Linked DNA regions of Lepisosteus oculatus. The protein of the gene in region 1 purifies or fractionates together with the protein of each later gene. This does not show direct contact. Links are inferred from orthologs where the notes say so. Each region holds a gene or a part of one and is shown on either strand. Other genes may lie near its edges.

Region 1 (3,921 bases):
ATTCCGGACTAAGAGGCGCTGGAGTTCTCAGGTAAGGTTTGAAATTGTGTTATATGTAAAAATAGAAAAGTTAATAGGCCTAATATATAGTTGATTAATGTAGGCATTTATGTTTGAATGTGTACATTTATAAAATTAATTAGGAAGTGCTGTATATTCGGTGCAGCAGTCAGTGATACACTTAATTTAAACTAGATTACGTATTAATCACTTTAGAAATAAAGAAGTTCGCGTCATGAGTATTGCACTTCAGAGTAAACCATTGTGAAAATTAAAATATTTTAATTCAACATAGGCTTTTATGTATCATAATGAACATAGTGCAACAGGGATGACCGTCGACACATTCGTTGTTTTTCTTAACACTGCCAAAAACTTCTGAGGATGTCGAATCGGTTCTCTGGTCTGGATTTTCAGGATTTATAAAACAGTCGGCAGTTGCGTGTCCTTTGGGGGAAAAAATGAATGAATGCTGCCCCCTGTGATAGTGATCGGACAAAATCATTGGACAGAACCGTCGGTTAAGTGTCAGAATAAGGGAAACTTCTTGTTTGCTCATTGGTAGGAGCTGTAGATCAGGCTGTATGTTTGTCTTATTCCAGGATTCAGGGGGTTGGGTTCGACTTATCGATTCCCGGAATACTGTACGCGTTCTGTGTTTCTTTAAATCCCAAACTCTGCCCCACTGATAGTTTAGATATGCTTTAATGGTCCTTAAGAGACTTATAAAAACCGTAGTGGATTATGGTACCGAAGGATGAGAATCTCTCTGCGATCTAGCATTGGAGAAACAACGTGCCTTCTATTAGGACGTGTGTTCTTACTTGTCAGTCCCCACAATTTAATATTAAATAATCCAGGTGGGGCTGCACATTGGTGGTGGATGAGGGGAGTCCCCATTACCTGTAAAGAGCTTTGAGTTGAGTGTCCTGAAAAGCGCTATATAAGTGTAAGCAATTATTATTATTATTAGCGCGTAAGAGTTAATGTTTACTTTAAAGTAAAACCAAGAATGTCTCAACATTACAGTTGATCATTCGGAGATTCTCCTGTGGTCCCCGTGACTGGAGTAGCCTACATGTAGCCCATCAAAGCTGCTGTTGCTGTTCTTGAGCAGCTCTAGCAGATGCCTTGTTCTGTGAATTGAAACATGTGTTTGTGAAGCACAGGCTTTGTAATAGCTCTGGAAACCTAATTCTCCAACGGCAATGTTTTGAAAATTGTACATCTACAGAGACCTTTCTAATAATGGAACAGAAAAAGGATTCACAACACCACAGCCTTCTCATGAAAAAAGGTGAGGCTGTCTACTCAATTCAGATTAGGCCGATAAAGTCTGTTAATAATTAATAATAATAATAATAATAATTGCTTACACTTATATAGCGCTTTTTTGGACACTTCACTCAAAGCGCTTTACAGGTAATGGGGACTCCCCTCCACCACCACCAGTGTGCAGCATCCATCTGGATGATGCAACGGCAGCCATAGTGCGCCAGAACGCTCACCACACATCAGCTATTAGTGGGGAAGAGAGCAGAGTAATGAAGCCAATTGATAGATGGGGATTATTAGGAGGCCATGATTGGTAAGGGCCAATGGGAAATTTGGCCAGGACGCCGGGGTTACACCCCTACTGTTTTCGAGAAACGCCCTGGGATTTTTAATGACCACAGAGAGTCAGGACCTCGGTTTTACGTCTCATCCGAAGGACAGCGCCTGTTTACAGCACAGTGTCCCCGTCACTATACTGGGGCATTAGGACCCACATGGACTGCAAGGTGAGTGCCCCCTGCTGGCCCCACTAACACCTCTTCCAGCAGCAACCTTAGTTTTTCCCAGGAGGTCTCCCATCCAGGTACTGATCAGTTCTTTCTGTGATCACCCTGATTCCAGTTGATTGGTATTGCAGGTGAAGCTGGGGGGTCTGATTCTCTTAGGGTAGTGTATATACATTCTTTCTCATCTTATTTTGCTATGCTATGAATTCTTTCAGAGCGGCGTTGTGATTTCCTCCTTCTTACAGTGGAATCATACGTTCGGAGCATGCCCCCTCTGATCGCTGGGATGCTCTTCACTCGACCTGCTGTGGGGTGTATTCTCTTCACGGTTGTCAAATGGCTATTGTCCCCATGTTTTGCAGAAATGAGCTGTACGATAGACAGAGTTCTGGCTGACGCTAAAGCCCTTGTGGACAGGCTGAGAGACCATGACAGTGCTGCCGAGGTGCTGATTGAGCAGACAACCTCCCTAAACAAGCGAGTTGAAGCAATGAAACAGGTAACGCTGCCTTTCGGCAAACAGCTGTATGCATTTTGTGTCAGAAGTCGGGAAGCAACAGTGAATCACTGAAGAACAAGGGGGTGGATTTCTGTTCTCAGACCACTGTCTGAAGTTAAGGAGCTTTGTGCTTGTGAAATGCATGCCAAAGAAATAGATGAGAGATTTCGATCACTTGGTTGCAACAACACAAGGTGCCTACTAGTGCAAAAGAGCAACCACAAGTGAGAATAGGCCATTTAGCCCAACTAGCGCACCTGACAGTTAGTAGTGAATTGACCTCAAGATCTCATCCAGCTGTTTCTAGAAAAAAAACAGAGTATCAGCTTCAACAACGTGGCTGGGTGGCTTGTTTCAGACTCCCACTACCCTTTGGCAAAGACAGATCTCCTGTTCTCTGCTTTAAATACATTTCCACGTCTCGGTGCACGAAAGCGTATTCATGTTGATGAAATCTGAAGAGGGCTTTTTGAGATGCACCTTTGATTTGCCCTCAGTACCAGGAGGAGATCCAAGAGCTGAACGAGGTGGCAAGACACCGGCCTCGGTCGACCCTGGTCATGGGCATTCAACAGGAGAACCGCCAGATCAGAGACCTGCAGCAGGAGAACAAAGGTGAGACTCGCGTGCCACGAGACGAAACACATCAGCAGAATAATCATTCGTATCTTAGAGAACCACACCTTTTCATCTCTTTTCTTTCCTCTCCATTTGAATGTGTGGCTGCAGTCAGCACCATTCAGACCCGAGTGAAGGCTGATTCCACGCTGCTCAGCAGAAAGAAAGAGCACAAGGCTTCAGCTGCTGAGCGTTTCGGACACTTTCTCACCTGCCGTTGTTCTCCTGTGCTTTATAGCCCTACGTCCTCCCTCTTTCTCCCTCACACCTGAAGAAGGCTCAATAGCCAAAAAACTTTCTTCTTTTTTACTTGTTTCTTTGCAGCTACACAAACCCTTTCAATTGTTCAGATGTGTTAAGTTCTTCAATTTTGTGTAGTTTAAGATGAAGTGAAATCCCATTATTTTTTCCACCTGTCCATTCCTTAAAAATGTCCATTTACTCCTATGATAGAAGTCCTCAGTTCACAAAAATGATCTTCCAGTGAAAGTAAAGGCGTTGTCTTGGGTCACACCTCTTGTTAATATTAGCAAGAAAACAACAGTAGTTGGCAAAGAGTTGGGAAGATTAAGCATTGTCTGAAAGATGTATTGTAAATTGCGATTGTACCTTTAGCAGATTCCTTTTACTGAGTTACTCAAAGTAGTCAGCTTAGTGATTATTTCCTCCCCCTGGCCTACATCAGAAGAACTGAACAGTAAGTGTGTACATTGTAAAAGACTGCTTGTCGTGTCTGCTCTTTTTCACAGAACTGCGCACTTCTTTGGAGGAGCACCAGTCAGCTCTTGAGCTCATCATGAGCAAATACAGGGAGCAGGTCTTCAGGTTGTTAATGGCCAGCAAAAAAGACGACCCTGTCATAATCACAAAGCTGAAAGAGCAGCATTCCAACGTGAGTATCAGATTCACTGTTAGATTTAAAGGACTTTTAACTTTGTGCGGGCTTCTTAAACCTTCTTCTTAAACCATATGTTAGGCATTACCCTTGGCATTCACTTTTACTGATGGCTTTTTTACTGGAAT
Region 2 (3,921 bases), on another chromosome or scaffold:
AAAAGCAGAAGGCGTGGAGCCTACTGCAGGTGTGTTATTTAATAATTAGGTGCATGCTATTTAAATATACATTTTCCCGCCGTCACTATGAGAGAAACGAGTCATCTTAGCCCGCAAACCCACACCACCCGAATTCCTGGTTTTTCAACCAGAGGGCACTGTATTTCCATCATCGCCTTCTTTTGTTGTTTTAATAAATAATTTTAAAACTCCATATCTTGATAACAATATATAGTTTTTCACTAATGTTGACCCTTTTTTATTTTTTTACTTGTTTTTGACTACGTGACTGTCTTACATAAAGAGCAAGTGTGAAGCACAAGTTTTGTTGTGAATTTTTTCCTAACTTAATGAACAAAAGCCGTGAACAAATTACATGACACTTTCCATATATTGAACTGTTTCCTTAATTTACTCCCCAGTACAGTCACTGTTGGAGATTTGTAGGAATCGGACAGAACCCAAATTGAACGGTATAATCGCATGTCCAGGCGATGCACTGAGAAAATGGCTACAGTGTTAATGGTCTGCGCTTTTTCTCTTGAACCAAAAGCTTTGCACAAGGTACAGTACGTCCAGCTGGACAGGTGAAACTAGATTTTCACTTCTGTCAGCAACTCGATCACGGAGAAAAGGCATGTGTGTGGTTATTTCATCACGAGTATTACATATTTGCGGTAGCCAGCATAAATGCAAGTAAAACAAAAAGTAGGAGTCAAATAATCATCCTTATTAATCATAATCTCCATTACAATATAGTAGACGACCGCACATTGCGTGTGCTAATTCACACCTTTGTTGTGCAAACTTGCATCAACAACGTGACCCAAGTGGACAAGATATTTGAAAAAAATGGTCCAAAAGTATGGTCATTGTACCGACCAGCAGTCATGCATTTTTTTTACATAAATACTACATCCATCTGCTTTCTAATTACTTTTTCCAATTCAGGATTGCGGGGGAGCCACCCAGTTACACCTAGAACCTTAGCGGGAAGCCAAATCACCTACAGCGTTTTTGGTAAACGGAAACCCGTGCGAACGCGGACAGAACAGACAAACTCCACGCAGACAGCAGCGCAGAAATTGAAGTCAGGGCCCCAGCAATACTAACCAATGCGCCACCATTACGGTTACCATTACATGGGTTAAAGTTTCCGTTTCCTTGGGGGGCCTAGGCGAGAACACCCGTCTATGAATATTAAGTTAATCTTCAATGGTTTATGGGTTTTTTTTTTGTACAGCCATCAAATTTATATCATTTCTGTCACAAATCCTGTGCTCGAACGTGCATATTATATCCTGTGCATATTATAACAACTGCACGTTTCGGGCGAATGTAATTGCATAAGCTTAAAATAACACATCCAGGTGGATGCTGCACATTGGTGGTGGTGGAGGGGAGACCCCATTACCTGTAAAGCGCTTTGAGTGGAGTGTCCAGAAAAGAGCCATATAAGTGCGAGCAATTATTAATTATTATTATTACTTTTGCACAGCAGAGCAGAGTAGAGGCTGGCCAACATTCTGCCCGGGAGTGAAGGACCGAGCGAGCCGGGAAGAGTGGCTCCCTCTGCCGGTGCAGGAGCGCCACTGGGCCTGGGAGCCCGGATCCGCCCTGATGTCAGAGTGACAGTGCTGACAAGATGGCGGAGGGCAGGAGAGCAGAGTGAGGAGGACAACACAATAATATATCGTAACTGCTCTAACGCTGATTATCATTTTAAGCGCTACTGTAGGGTGGGTTTCGAAACACGGGCGCCACCTTTTTGGACAAGCAGTGGTGGGATGGTAGCGGAGCACATGCACCCTTGTTTGTGTGTTACGGTGGGAGATCTGTCCACGGAAGACGAATTGCACACCAAAGCAAAAAGCCTGCGCTCCCTTTCGTGAAAAAAATAAAATGCCGAGGCACAGCACGTCACCGGCGCGTATATTTTAAAAAAACTGTCTCGGACTGTGATCCGTATGCGTTGATTTTTATTTTTTTATTTTTGTAGTTCATGTTCTGGGGGTAAATAGTTTGGTTTTCATCCAAACAAAAAAAAAGGGAAGGACCCTTCGGAAAGCTGGGTAAACCTGATCCGGGCTGCCAGAAGTCAGTCTGTGATTTTTTTTTAAATTTATTGTTTTCTGTGGATAAATTCTCGTATCTACAGGACATAACCTACAAATCAAAGAGGACAGGAATATACAAATTCGCATTTGCTGGGATCCGAGTTAGGAGATCGTGTTGTTGTTTCTTGACAAGTTCTCGGGCTCAAACTGCTGTACGCCATGGCTCACTCCCCGGTGCAGACTGGCCTGCCTGGGATGCAGGTAAGACATTCACCTTCCGTTTTCTTTAAATGTTCAACCTACTAAGTGGGAAAAACATTACACGACCCTGAAATGCGTACCGCGGCAAACAAGACACAATCGTTACTTAAAAACATCTGTAGCTTGCCAAGCGGCAATATTGTATCGCACTAGGCGGAGAACTGCGGTGAGACGTTGTGCCCAGCAGTACACGAAAGCACATTACTCGAAATCGTGGCGCTCCAGCCGGCTTCGACTCTGTAGAGATGTTGCTTTTGGTGATGCAAACATTTCCCCCTTCCTGCACTTTTAAGTGTAGGAGTAGCGAGGAAGTGGGGGGACTACGAGAGGCCTGTGAGACCTTACCCGCTCGAGTCCCGTGTTCTCCGGGGCACTGGAGTAATTGAGAGCCGTCCGTAGGGACAGGACCACCGAAGTGCAATGTGCATTGCTGTACTTAATTTCCTAGCGGAATGTTGCGTTTGTTAACAGCCGAAACATAAGAACACTAACAGGAAAAGAGGGTCTGTACAGCATTTGCCTTTAACGACAAATGCACTTTGCAAGAGTTAGATATAAGGACGGTAGATATGCATCTTTTCTAGGGGTTAAACCTTTGAATAGTTGAGGGTAGAAGAGACGCCCTTGAGGATGTTTACTTTCAACATTTTTTTTGACGATTTTGGCCTGTAAAGGAGAGCACTCATGCCGTATTCTTTGTAGCAGGATGGTGTACCGAGTGTAACCTTTACATAGAGCAGTAGAGTTTGCTTCGTTGTGGGGTTATTTAATCAATAAATATAATTTTTGATTGGACAGTTGTTCTATTTGGGACGTATTGTAAAGAACAAGGGTTAGATTAAAATATAACGTTAATTACAATGCTGTTGGAATTGTCAGCAGACGACTTGAAAATTTGAATCCTTTTGCAGTTACGCAGAAAAGGTGCCTCTAATTTAAGGTCGTCAGTGTCTTGATTCCGTGCACTTTTTTACTGTATTAACCAAGTAGATGATCACAGAGTAAATCGTCACCTAACTGCTATGTTAAATGCCTATTTGCTTTCGGCACCGACGTGGTAAAAAAAAATATTTTTAAAGGAATCACTTTAAGATAATATAAGACCTAAAGGAATACGAAATAACCTTTTAGTACGTTTCAGGCTGACATGAATGCATTACTGCATTCAGGCTGCTCAATTGCTCAACTACAAAGGCTGTTTAGAGATTAATGGATTTCCGCCTTAACAAGTGTTAAGTAGAAAATTCTCTCTAGTTATGGCTGTGAAGCTGTGATGTCATCCATAATTGACACATTGGCAAATTGTACGTCATTGGGGCCTCATTATGTATCTGGGATTGAATTGGTTGTTGAAGTGTTTCCCCCAATCAGGCTTGTATTCAGCAGAATTCCTAGTATTCTAAGAAATTTAGCTAAAAACGTTGACCGTTGAAGGGGGACTGAATGACTAAATGCTTTGCTTCTGCATGTCTTTACATGTGACATCCTAATGATTACACTAGAAATAACACCACAATTTACAAAATAAGTTGTAAACCTTGCAAAAAGAGATGTTTGGCATGTTCTTTGTTGTAATGTAGAAACTAAAGTTCACAGTGTGTAC

The links.
Region 2: the proteins of fgfr1op2 (region 1) and serine/threonine-protein kinase 24 purify together in Homo sapiens (affinity purification with mass spectrometry; 4 studies listed by BioGRID and IntAct, with this or other methods). This does not show direct contact. The link is inferred for Lepisosteus oculatus from reciprocal best matches to the Homo sapiens genes FGFR1OP2 and STK24.

The regions. Positions count from the first base shown.
Region 1 is NC_090702.1:54,195,674-54,199,594, reverse strand, and holds the start of fgfr1op2 (FGFR1 oncogene partner 2 homolog), read left to right. Parts: upstream 1-1,233; 5' UTR 1,234-1,248; coding exon 1,249-1,297; intron 1,298-2,143; coding exon 2,144-2,280; intron 2,281-2,777; coding exon 2,778-2,895; intron 2,896-3,647; coding exon 3,648-3,790; intron 3,791-3,921. UniProt on the Homo sapiens protein: May be involved in wound healing pathway.
Region 2 is NC_090710.1:6,273,546-6,277,466, forward strand, and holds the start of serine/threonine-protein kinase 24, read left to right. Parts: upstream 1-1,617; 5' UTR 1,618-2,276; coding exon 2,277-2,318; intron 2,319-3,921. UniProt on the Homo sapiens protein: Serine/threonine-protein kinase that acts on both serine and threonine residues and promotes apoptosis in response to stress stimuli and caspase activation.